Caenorhabditis elegans: one gene and its partner. The protein of the gene in region 1 purifies or fractionates together with the protein of each later gene. This does not show direct contact. Each region holds a gene or a part of one and is shown in the gene's direction. Other genes may lie near its edges.

Evidence for each region. The genes of interacting proteins can lie anywhere in the genome.
Region 2: the proteins of pbs-4 (region 1) and rpn-9 fractionate together in Caenorhabditis elegans (co-fractionation; one large-scale study listed by BioGRID). This does not show direct contact.

The regions. Positions count from the first base shown.
Region 1 is NC_003279.8:3,904,612-3,912,438, forward strand, and holds pbs-4 (Proteasome subunit beta type-2), read left to right. Parts: upstream 1-4,135; 5' UTR 4,136-4,140; coding exon 4,141-4,243; intron 4,244-4,292; coding exon 4,293-4,588; intron 4,589-4,638; coding exon 4,639-4,705; intron 4,706-4,760; coding exon 4,761-4,903; 3' UTR 4,904-5,074; downstream 5,075-7,827. Other genes in the region: magu-3 (Guanylate kinase-like domain-containing protein), read right to left, coding at 1-95, 455-589; mrrf-1 (Ribosome-recycling factor, mitochondrial), read right to left, coding at 5,075-5,383, 5,429-5,590, 5,637-5,756, 5,801-5,926; T20F5.8 (TPA-induced transmembrane protein), read right to left, coding at 6,183-6,267, 6,879-6,914, 6,958-7,052, 7,618-7,827. UniProt on the Caenorhabditis elegans protein: Non-catalytic component of the proteasome, a multicatalytic proteinase complex which is characterized by its ability to cleave peptides with Arg, Phe, Tyr, Leu, and Glu adjacent to the leaving group at neutral or slightly basic pH.
Region 2 is NC_003280.10:11,235,866-11,241,004, reverse strand, and holds rpn-9 (26S proteasome non-ATPase regulatory subunit 13), read left to right. Parts: upstream 1-2,085; 5' UTR 2,086-2,086; coding exon 2,087-2,181; intron 2,182-2,230; coding exon 2,231-2,810; intron 2,811-2,859; coding exon 2,860-3,246; intron 3,247-3,296; coding exon 3,297-3,398; 3' UTR 3,399-3,558; downstream 3,559-5,139. Other genes in the region: T06D8.9 (Store-operated calcium entry-associated regulatory factor), read right to left, coding at 182-437, 492-880, 933-1,162, 1,212-1,287; FUN14 domain-containing protein fndc-1, read left to right, coding at 3,686-3,856, 3,909-4,045, 4,112-4,220; cchl-1 (putative holocytochrome-c-type synthase), read left to right, coding at 4,631-4,657, 4,711-4,896, 4,942-5,090.

The DNA.
Region 1 (7,827 bases):
AGCCCGGTTTTCGGATCGATTTCAGTTTTCTCCTCAATCTCCACTTGCTCGAACTTTTCCTTCCCGTCTTTGTTTGAGGAAGAGGTGCCGTTGCTCTGAAAAATTAAAAAATTAAATTTTAAAACTTTCAGAATTTTCAGAATGTTGGCGTGTTGCTAACATTAAGCAAAAAACAGTTTTTTCTGGCCGATTTCCATATAGTTTGCCACTTTATTCAAAAAAATTTCAATTTTTTTTGAAAGTTTTACTATTATATTTGAAACAAATTCAGCATTATGGGCTATTTCAAAATATTTTTATAGCCGCCACTCCACCTCATTGTAAAGAATTTTAGATTTTCCAAAATTTTGGTAAATTGCAAACATTGGGATTTTTGAACGCTGGCAATACTTAATATGAAAAATTTGTCAAGCTTATGGTTCCTACAAGTTTAAAATATTTTTTCAAAACTCACCTTTGTGCTATCCGCATCCTGCTCCTTTCCATTCTTCTTCTCGATATTCTCGATTTTTTCCAATAAAACATGAAGACATCTGGACAAGTTTTCGGCGTTCGATCTCAGCTGAGACAACTCATCTTCTTCGCTCATCTTTCGATCTTAAAATGTGCTTTTTGTTGAATACCGGGAGAAAAAAAGTGACAAGTGAACAACCAGGAAACATGGAAGAAGAACAAGGTGGTAACGGGAGGGGGAGAAGAATCGAAAAGCATACAGAAATTGCGTGGGCAAACAAGAAGTGAGAAACGACTACGCAATTCGAGGCTTAGAGCATTTTAGAATGGTTGTTTGGGAGAAAGTACACAAAAATTGTTACAGGTTTCGTGGCCGGCAGAAATTTGAAATTCATTATTTTTTCTAGGCCATCTGAAAAAAACTACAAAAGGGTGGAAGAATCTGGATTTTTTGAATGGACTTGTAGGAATTTTCGGAAAGTGTAACGGTACACGTAAATTAAGCGAAATTGCCAATAAAGGGACGGGGGTATATTTTTGAGCCTTTCAGCGATTTTTATAGCAATTTGGGATGAGCTAAACATTAGATGCAATATCGAATACCGTATATTCTCTATTAGTAAGGCGCCTCTATTAGTTTTGCACCTCTAATAGTTTTTAAATCGGCGAATTGCCGGTTTGCCGATTTGCTGGAAAATTTAATTTGCCAATTCGCCGAATTGCCGATTTGCCGAACATCAATTTGCTGGAAGTTTTTAGAGACGGAAACACTTAAAACTGTGCCTTTTTAAAATTAATTTGCCCGTTTTCTTTAGATATTTTCGAATTTGCTTACTTTTCAAAATAGATGTAGGAGCATTCCTAGGATACGTACAATTTTGCCGATTTGAGTTGAAATTCTCAATACCGGCAATTCATCAAAAATTTCAATTCTGGCAACTTGTCGATTCTAGGCAAACTCTTCCATAAAAACAAAACGAATCACCCAAGTCTAGGCAAGAAATTTCTTATGCCTAGACCGCTTCGATTTTTTAAAAAACCTAAAAGAGAAAGAATTGGGAAATGAAATTAAAAGCAAACAAATCTAGGTAAACTTTTCCCCATAAAAAGCATACAAACATATATCTATATCCTTTCCAAAAAATAATTGAAAAAGAAACCAAAACCAGAAGTCGTAAGAAGGGATATCAGATTAACATGTGTGTGTATGTGAATGTTTCAACGACAAGAAGAAGAGCATGGGAAACGAATTCATGAGCTCTCTCTCTTTTGAGCAACGACTACTTATGCCTGAAGACGCAGAGAAATTGAAGAGAGAATCGATGGGAAGCAGTGGGTTTGAAAATTGTTTGAAGAAACAACAACAAGAAAGGAAAAAGAAAAGAAAAGGGGAGAATGCTAATTTAGCAGCAGAATGCAAGTGGAATGAGCACAGTGAATTGAATATTACATTGTGAAACATGGGTTGAGTACGGAGCTCGTGTTGACTTCTGAAGTGAGTAAGAAGCCAAGCAGTGGAAAGAGCGTGGCGAGACCTTCTAGGGCAAGATGATTGCCGAAAAATTTGCCGATTCTCGAATTTTCCGGCTCCGACAATTTGGTTTAAAATTGGAGATGTACATATTTTGAGGAGGGAAGTAGTCTATACACACCAGAAGTTGGCGGCAAACAATTTTTTTTGGCAAGTCGGCAAATCGGCAAATTGGTGGAATGGGAAATTTCCAGCAAATCGACAAGCTGGCAGATTTGCCGAATTTGGCGTAAAAACGGTAATTGCCGAAAATTTTCGGCAAATTGTGGTTTTGCACATTTTTTTTTGGAAATTTCAGAATTTCAATTTTAATCGGCAAAATTGTACGCATCCTATGAATATTCCTACATCTATTTTGAAAAGTTAGCTAATTCTATGAAAATATCTAAAGAAACGGTAAACCGGCAATTTGCCGATTTGCCGAACGGCAATTGCCGCAAACCCCTGGCACACACACGTTAATGACCCAGAAATGATATTCCAAAAATTTTCAATAACTTCCAAATTTTCAGCTAAAGTTTTGGTAACTTGCCAAATTTAAAAAATAGCGGAATTTCTGAATATTTTCGAGAATGCTGTATTTTTAACTCCTACAATTTTTGGTCGACTTCCAAAATTTATGTAGTAATTGTCACTTTTTGAATAAAAACTTTTTTCAAAGAGTTCTCCATATTTTTCACTATGATTTTTTGCTCATTTTATCACTAAAGGAAAGCTTGAAATAATTTCTCTATTGGTGGCGCCATTAAATTGTTTCAGAAGGGTGGGAGCACGTGGAGTCAAAAAGTCCCATTTTGCTTTGATCTTCGAAAAAATGCGGGAGAAGTGACGCAGACATCTCATTTGATTTCGCATGGTTAGGAGTGTGCTGACGTCACAATTTTTCTGGGAAAATATTCCCGCATTTTTCGTAGATCAAACCGCAATGAGACAGCCTGACACCACGTGTGGGAGTGATTATCTTATCTTCAGGTAATAACAAAAAAAGTTGTAGCTTACTGTTTTTCTTTCAGGGTCCTGACACGACCGAAACTTTTCAAATATCGTACCCCGCCAGTATTTAGATATTTTGATTTAACTGTTAAAACCTTACTTATTTTCAAAATGCGGGTACTGTAGTTGATAAGTTTCGCTCGAGCCAGGACCTCGATGCACAATTTTAGACAAACTACTCGCTGTAAAATTGCAGTTTCCTGTACACGTAGAAAGCTAGAAAAGAACAGGATAAATTGCGGAAAACCACAAGAAGATTCATGAATAGGTGGCAAATGAAGTGTCATCTTGCCTCGGAACAACATGACCTGGTGACCATGAAATTGTATCGGCGACTCTTTAATAGAGGAGTTCTTTGTTTATAAACACACCAGGGTGGCCTCGAAGAGTGCGGTTTGGAATGGTGTAATCCGAACGATGGTTTGCCTCCACTTTTCCCGGAGAAGACAATGATTAATTATCTCGGAGACACAAATCCGCCTCCTCTCCGGATAGCTCGAGCACTTCTTTTCTCGTAATAACGACATCTGCGCCGAACCACCAGCACCACCCGAAGAATGAATGAATAAGTGAGAACGAATTCGAAGAGCAGATGGTGGTGGTCTAAGGATCGGCTCATTTATGACGAGAAAATCGGTTCGATAATGAGCGGATAATCGGCCGAGCAAAGCGTGCGCGGAAAAGAGTAATGACCTGCAAAAAGCTGCGATATGGGATTTTAATTATTTACACAACCACTTGATGCACTTGGCACCTTGATTTAATGATGAGGGAAATTTTTATTAATAATAAATTTATTATTCAATCGGGAAAGTTTTTAACTGAAAAAGTATATAAAATAATGACTGAATAATTGTTAAAAAATCTGAAAGTTTTCTATTCTTCTAAAAAACCTTTGTTTTCATGCCTTTTCAAGATTTTATTTCTGTCGATCCAGCTCGAGCTTTTCCCAAAGAGCTCTTTTTCTTCTAAAAGCACCTACCGTATACACATTCGTCGTCAAATAGTGCGCATTGGGCGCGCACACCGAATATTACGACAAGATGCAGAAATCATCATTTTTGCAATTTTGAAGTTTCAACCGCATTCGAAGTCGCTTTTCTTTCCTTTTTTCTCACTGAAAGTTGAATTTTATTATTTTATTATTCTTATTTTCAGACGAGATGGCTGGTATGCACTTCTTGGTGGGAATTTCCACCGAAAACTACGTGATTTTGGCCGCAGACAAAGCCACTTTCGCTTATGGCGCTATTCTCGCTGACAGCGGTAAGGCTGAGAATCCGGGATGCAAAAAATATTCAAATTTATATTTTAGAAAACGACAAGGAATATAGACTGGGAAAGAAGTTGACAATGATGTGCATCGGAGAGGAAGGAGACGTCGCACAGTTCGGAGACTGGACCAAGAGAAATCTTCAGTTGTACTCGGTCAGAAATGGTTACGAGGTTTCACCATCATGTGCTCATCACTTCGTTCGGCGCAGTATCGCCGAAGGTCTCCGCTCGCAAGATCACTACACTGTCGATGTTCTGATTGGAGGATATGATGACAAGGAGGACAAGGCTTTCCTAGGATCTGTTGATTACTTGGCTAATGGACTCGGGCAACAGGTATTCAGCAATTTATTATCTTTTAGTCAAAATAAAGAATTATTATTCAGCCGTACTTGTTCCGAGGATTCTGCGGACGCTTCTGCTATGCCATTATGGATCGTGAATACAAAAAAGGTAAGTTTTAATTAAGTTTAAATTAATGTTCCCAACTTTACTGAATGATTTTCAGACATGACTGAGGCTGAAGGACTCGCTTTGATGAACAAGTGCATCGGAGAGGCTAAGAGACGTTTCGTCGCCAACATTCCGGGATACAAAGTGGTGATCATCGATAAGAAGGGATACCGCAAATTGGATGATGTTCTTTTCTAAATTTCTGGCCCCGGAATATATTTTTCACCGGTTATTACACTTCTCTCCTGCAACCTTTTTTGTGACTTTTCTCCCAGTTTTCTTCCGTTTTAATTTATTGACACATTCGAATGTATTTTCCATCATATTTTATTCTATCTAAAATTGAGCAATTGAAAAGATAGATAACAATTAAACGACTTGTTTCAGCAGCTGTTTGCGGCGTTCTTCGATGAGTAGACCTCCTCTTTGTTCAGCAGCGTGCTTCATATTCAATAGTGCTTCCCGTGTTTTCTTGGCTTCATCTGGTCTCGTGGAAAACTCATTCGACGACTTCTTATCACTTTTGGAATAGATTTCGTTGATCGCCTTTTTGTATTCATTGAGAATTCGTCCCTTCGCATCAGATGCCATTTTCTCTCTTCTTTCTTTACTCATCGGCGGCACATTCACATACAAAACAGCTCCCTCCTGTTGTGGAGTTACATTAAGAGTTGATTTCTGAAATAAACAAAGGAAAATATGAAAAGGACGGCAAGATGGTACCTGAATCGCCAATTTTGCTGCTTTAATTGCAGATGGATTATCCTGGAAGTTGATCATAATCATAAGTGGAGATTTTAATGTGACTCTGGCAATCATGGACAGTGGCTTATCCTTTCCATTTTCAAGCTTGACCATGACATCTTCATATTGCCGAATATCTACCTGGAAATAATTATTTTACTTTGATCAATTCTTTTAAAAAACTAACTTTAAGAGAAAAATGTCTTGTGAGCTCTTCGACAAGTAATCCTTCAACTCTTTGAATTTCTTTTATTGTTTCCTGGACGACTGCGTTTTCCTCCAAATTCGAGAAAACTGCTGGTGGATTCTGAAATATAACTTTTAATATAAATCTAAATGACTTATTCCAACCTTTTTCTTATTGTCCGCTTTTTTCTTAGCATTTACAACTGCAGAAGTAAAGATTTGAGCTTGTTTTTGAAGGAATTGAGCTCGAGAGGCACCTTGGGCTAATCGAATTACTGCTAAACGAATCATTAAATCTGTAAAAAGTATATTTTTTTAACAAAGTTAATTTTCACTATTATTGAATTTTAAATTGAGAAAATAAAACTGTTTTCACGAGAAATGCACTTTTGATTTAAAAAAATTTTGTAAACCGTCTGTCGTCTCTTCTATAGAGACACTCTCGTCTCAAACACAACGCGGGAATTCAAAACAGGGGTTTTATTTAAAAGTGTCTATTCATTATTCTGAAACAATATGAACTCAAAATTAGGATAATAAGGAAATTTTAAGAGTGACGAAGCAGATAAACTGTCGATTCATCATTTGAATCTCTTCTTGCAGTGGACGCCACATATCTTCTTATCGTCTCACTGAAAATTGTAACATTTCTGAAAGATCGATAGAAACTTGTTTTATATTATGAGAGAACAGGGCCGAGGTCGAGCACAGGGTCTCACCACGATTCACACCGAAAATATTGGTAGGTATTTTGCGCACAGATCAATATTATATCAATGCGAATTATACTAAATACAGCATTTATTTTATTACAGGAAAAGCAAATCCTGAGAATGCGTATTGCACAACTTATTTGACGCGCAAGATATCTCGCAGAGAAAATTACAGTAACTCTTAAAATACCGTACCGTTTGTGTCGATTTACGGGCTCAATTTTTGAAACGAATTTATTTTCGAAAAGTGACAGCGTTATTCCATTTTCCTTCGTTTCTTTGTATTATTTTCTCATTAAAAAATTCTATCGATAAATCAATAATTTCAAATCATTTAAAAAATCGAGCCTGCCGTAAATCGAAACAAGCGCTACAGTAGTCATTCGAATAATTGTAGCTTTCGCTACAAAATATTTTGTGCGTCAAATATATTTCGCAGTACGCACTCTCAGAATTTTTCGTTGTGAATCGTGGCGGGACCCACAGGGAAAAATTAGGAAATTTCAGACCCCTCACTTCCCATCACAAACCTGCTGACACCAGTTGGCAAAACCAATTGATCGTTCCTGAAAATAAAATAATGCGGAAAAATAATCGCAGAAGACGTACTTGACGGCTAATTCAAAAGCTTGTGCGTACTCTTCAGTGGATAATGTCTCTTCAGAAAATGTTGTAATGTTTAGAACTGTCGGTGTCTCAAATGGCTGAAAGATTTGAGAATATGGTTATTCGGAAAAATAGCATGCGCCTTTGAATATGGGTTACTGTAATGGCCCGGAAAATAAAATCGAATGTTATATATTTTTGCATGATTCGAATCTAGACTTCAAAGGAAGAGAACGCAAAAAAAAATCAAGATGCAAGAGCGCCCCGCGGCCAAATGGAAACGCCCATAAACGTTGGGTCTCGTTAGGTAAAGCTATAAATTCAAAAAAAAAAATTGAAAACCTTTCAATTCGCGGTTTTGTGAAACGAGACCCAACGTTTGGAGGAGGAGAACGCTCAATTTCATTGTTTTCTTTTCCTGTGTCTTGATAACAACGAATTGATAACAACGAAAAAAAAATAATAAGAGAAATACATTTAAAGGCGCATACACAAAATATTTATGCATCTCCCTTGAATATTGTCTTCGCGAAAGTGTAACAATAAAAATAAATTTTGTTTAAATTTAGTTTATTCTCCCAAATTTTAACTGAAAATTCAAAAAACATATCCAAAAATGTGTCTTGCCCCGCGTCCAAATTTAAATTTAAATTTCCAAATCACCTCAACATGAACTCTTTTCGGATTCGGAAAATTGATAACAACGAGAAAATAAATCAGTGAAGGTAGAATTAATAGCAGCGAAATATAGATTTTTGTCTTCGTTTCCATATTCTCCGCTGAGAAGTGTCTATCACAAAACGCGTCGTATGAGTTGGAGGGCTCCGGCTCACCAGGAATTTCAATGGCAAGTGGCTCAAGCCGCCTGACAGC
Region 2 (5,139 bases), on another chromosome or scaffold:
ATATGTTTTTCGCCTTCAATTATTATAACTTTATTCGTTAGTGCAATGCCAGATAATAAACGGAACGACGATTTTTAAACTAGCTAATGTACATTCGATTTTATCGAAAAGATGGACAAGACAAAGAAAAAGCAAAACTAGTTTTGTTTGCACCCGTACTTCTTGGATCTCAATAAGGAAACTATCGTCTCGTGGTGCCACCGTAACCAGAACTTGAGCGCATTGATGAAGTAGAAGGTGATGACCAGGAATCGGAACTTGAGAAGCCTGTGTCTTGGAAGAATCCTCTGTTGTATCGTGGACGGGCGTAGGCATTGTTATTGTTGAGGAAGCTGGATGCCAGGTATCCTCCAATGGCTCCTAGACTTGCTCCAGTCCAAAACGATCCACCATTGTTGGCGCCACTGCCACTTGCTCCTCCGCTAGAACTTCCCTGACTGAAAAACTTAATTTTAATGAAAATAAGGTCATTTTTATTTAAAATTCCTTACCATCCACCTCCAGATTGCGAGTCACCACGGAACCCATATGGCGGTGGCTTGGAGTAGTCGTCATATGGTGGAGGAGCACTTGGATAACCACCTGGACCACCACCTCCTCCGCCGGATCCTGGGCCTCCAGGACCTCCTGATCCACCAGAAGTGTAGCCAGAGCTTTCTGGGTTCTGATTTCTGTTAGTCCACATCGCGTAGATAATGTAGGCGATGAAGGCGACGACGACGAACGTGGCGAACTGATCCCATCGATCCTGGGATGACTTTCGAGAAACTGATCTGTTACCGCTCGCAGAATTGTACTCGAGCTCATACTCCAACCCGCAAGATCCTCTCAGGATGTATGGATCCTCTGCGTAATCGTATCCTTCACATGAAACACTGATCTGAAACAAGAAACATTTTTTGAAGCGAGATGGAAATATTTAAAAAACTAACGGATCCGAATTCCATATCATGTGGCAAATCTGCATCACATCTCCACTGCACATCCGAACCATCAAAACCTTGATTTGCACACTGAACCACCTTTGGGGTGAAGGCACCTTTCGCGGATCCACCGACACACTTCAACTGGAAGGTTGGAGAAACTCGTCGTCCTGTCGTCATTTTTCCTTTGTGTAGAGTAATTGCTGATACATCGCGAAGAAGAACTTTGTCAGAGGCCGCTGAAATTCATTTGTATTATTGAAACAAATAATCAAAAGAAAAACTTACCAGAAGTTTCGAAGAATACCACTGTGAACACCAGAAGCATCCATAAAAGGAAACTCGTTGTAAATCGAGAGATCATCTGAAAAAAGAAACTAACAATTAGGAATTTTGAACGAGTAATCAATAGAAAGTAGTATGAACATTGAAATAGTACCGGAAGATAAGAACGAAGCACCAGAGATTAATTTTGAAGCGTTGCAGTGAAAGGGAGAAAAGATGATAATGAAGAAAACGAATGATAGGATATGTGACGTGTAACAACACGGAATTTTCAGAAATTTCGAAATACTTGGATCATTTTTTTGCAAATCAAGAAAAAAGATAATACGAGAATAAGCGAGGAAAATCTATTGGATGGACACAATTTTACAGCAACGCCTTTGTTTGACATAATTTTTATTCAGAGTTGCGATTTTTATCAGATTTCGCTATAAACCAAGAAGAAAACACACAAATCTGGAAGGAAAACCTGAAAAGCTGTGTTGCCAGCTGGCGGATAAATCGAGAAGGGTGTTCGCACTTTAAAAACAATATCTTCTGTTAAAAAACAATAAAATAAATTAAGAAAAATAAATTGTTGCAAGCGCGCCCTATCGCATATGTTGAAGAGACTGTAGACGCAGACATATGGCCGTGACCGAAAACATTGTCTTTCGCGTCTCGATATTTCCAAAGTGAAAGGCCATGCGCCTTTAATTGCTGACAAATAAAATTCAAAAAAAGTTTTTTGTTTTGATTTTTGTGAGAGCGCGCTCGCCAAAAATGTTCATTTTAGCTATTCGAAATCCATTTTTGTTTTGATTGCTCCTACTCCTTCATTTTCTTTCTTCTTCACTCATTTCTCGTCTCAATTTTTAATGTATCGAGAATTTCTCAGGATGACTGCTCAAGACTACCTCAACGGAAAGCTGGCGGCTGCCAATGGACCTCTGGCCGATGACTGGAAGAATCTCAAGGAGCTCTGGGAGAAAAAGTAAGAATCAATTGTTTTTGTAGACACAAACTATTTCACTAATTTTCAGGCTCTGGCATCAACTAACGGTTCTGACACGATCCCTTGTGAAGAAGCCACAATTTGTGGCTTCAACGGACATGCACGAATTCTACAGACTGTTCGTGGCGGAGTGGGAGCTGCGTGTCAACCCTCTTCAGCTCGTCGAGATTTGCATTTCGATCGCCCAAAATATCGCGACAAAGGACAAGCAAAAATCTATGGAATTCCTGTCAAAAATTGGAAACGTCATCAACAAGGACAAGATTGCCGTTGCTCGACTTCATACCGGAGAGATTGAAGCCAGACTGGAGAACAAGGACAAAAATGGACAGATTATTGATCTGAAGAGCATTCGAACTCAAATCGATTCGACACAACACGAAGTGGACTCACTTGTCGGAGTTACAGAAGTTCATGCCCCGTTCTACCGCGTCTCATCTTTATATCTTCGTGAAGTTGGAGACTTCGCTGGATATTATCGCGAAGCTCTTCGTTATCTTGGAGTTGAGGACGCCAATAATCTGACAACAGAACAGAAGCAAGTCCATGCGGTTCTTCTCGGTTTCGCTGCTCTTCTGGGAGAAAACGTGCACAACTTCGGAGAATTGGTTTGTTGAAACTCTCAATTTAAATTCCCCCAATAAACGGTTTTTTCAGCTTGCTCACCCCATCCTCAAATCGCTCGAAGGAACTCGTGAACGCTGGATCGTGGACGTGCTTCTTGCCTTCAATTCGGGAGATTTGACGCGCTTCTTCTCGCTCGAAGGAGATTGGGGAGGCTGGGACGATTTGAAGAAGCAAAAGGATTTCCTGACTGCCAAAATCCGTCTGATGGCTGTCATGGAACTTGCAGTCTCTCGTCCAACCAAAGCCAGAAGCGTTTCATTCAAAGAAATCGCCACGAAGTGCCAGATCCCATTCGACGAAGTTGAGTTCTTGGTGATGAAGGCGTTGAGCAAGGATCTCATTCGTGGAGATATCAATCAAGTTGAGCAAGTTGTCTACGTGACATGGGTGCAGCCAAGAGTTTTAGATAATCCTCAGGTATAAGAATTGATTATAAGTTTTTAAAATACTTATTTTCTTTTTTTCAGATAATGCAAATGGCGACTCGCATTTCCGCATGGAGGAACGATGTCAACTCCATGGAAGGAATCGTCAGCAAAGAGGCACGCGAGATTCTCACTCAAAATTAAATCATCTCATTTCTTTAATTTATTTTCTCCATGCTCCCCCATCCCAATCCCGGAATCCTCTATTTTTATAATTACACTGCTACGTGTATTCTACAATTTCAAGATCGTTCAGTCTTCTTTCTGTGTGTATTTATTTGAATTCATAAATTAATCGACTGTGAATATATTGAATTTTCTCGATGTCAGATGTGACTAACACCGTGTCAATAGTTCACTAGTACTTTTCAATACTTAACATTCGGGTTCTCTTCGTCTTCGAGTAATGTAGTACTGTGATTGTTCCAGCCATGGTTGATCTTTCAAAAAACGACGGAGGCAGTGGAAAAGCCGGAAAAGGTGTGAGTGATGCCATCGATACAGTCCTCTACTACGTTGTTGATCTGAAAAAGCAGCAGCCGATGGTCCAGCTGGGTGTTGGTGCTGGATTCGGGACAGTGACTGGATATTTTGTCACCAAGGTATTTAAAATTGGTGGTTCTAGAGAAATATTTAATTTTTAAATATTTTCAGGGAGGACGTCTTGTTGCTGCCACAGTGGGAATCTCTTTCCTGTTGGCTCAATTCGCTATTCACAAAGGATACATCACGCTGAACGAATCAAAAATCGAACGAGACATGAAAAATCTACACAAGTCCGTCATGAACAAGTAAGCTTGAATTTTACGAAAAAAAAATAGAATAAAACGAAAATCGTATATTATTCAATTTTTCAGAGTATCCGGCAAGAAAGTTATCAACATTTCCGATTCATTTGTCTCCGAATACCGGTGGATTCTTGGCGGATTCGCAGCTGGGATGCTGATTGGATTTAGCGTCGCCTAAATGTGGAAAATTGTGAAGCTTCAGTTGGTTTTTATCTACGATCTGTACTATTTATAATCGAGTTGCTCGATATGATGCATAAATAACTTTTTCTCACTCTCCATTGTCTAGTCATGCTGTCTATTTTTTTCTTCACATTGACTGATAAATTATACACCCTTACCTTCTCATCTTTTAATTCTTGCAAAACTTATGGTTTATTCCATAACTTTTCTCTTTTTGAACTCGATTTTGTGCTGAAAATTTTTTGAAACGTAAGTTTGCAACGACACTCCGTAGTTACGCGGCCCGTATGACGCGTAGTTTATTTTTAAGGCCTTTTTTCTCTAGTTTCATCATTTCCGTGCGCCACCTGCCTATTTAACCGTCATTTCCCCAACTATAGTTTAGTTTTCAGATAAAATTACATCATGGGCTCTTCACAATCGACGCCAAAGGTGAGTTTTCTATAATTTCAGTTAAAAGAAAACACGTATGAATTTATTTTCAGGTGCAAGATGCCAACGCCGATGCTGAGAGAATTCGTAAGGCTCAACACAGCATGGCTGCTGCTGGAGGAGGATCTCAATGCCCATTAACACCTGAACAGAGAGCTGCTGCATCTGGAGAGAATTGTGGAGCTGGTGGCGCTTGCCCGGTTGGTGCTGACAAGGCTTCTATCAATCCACTCAACAATGTGAGTTCAAAATAGAGTTTTCTGAAGCCAACTTTGAAAATTCAGGAGCTCGAACATCCAAATCAAAAGCCAGCCCCAGATCAGCCATTCGCACTTCCAACGAAACGAGAGAAGTCTACAATCCCGAAAGCTGGAACAGAAACTGAAACCTGGACCTATCCAAGTCCCCAAATGTTCTGGAACGCCATGCTGAAGTGAGTTTTTGATTGATAAATGTTTATTGTTGATTTTAAATTTGAATTT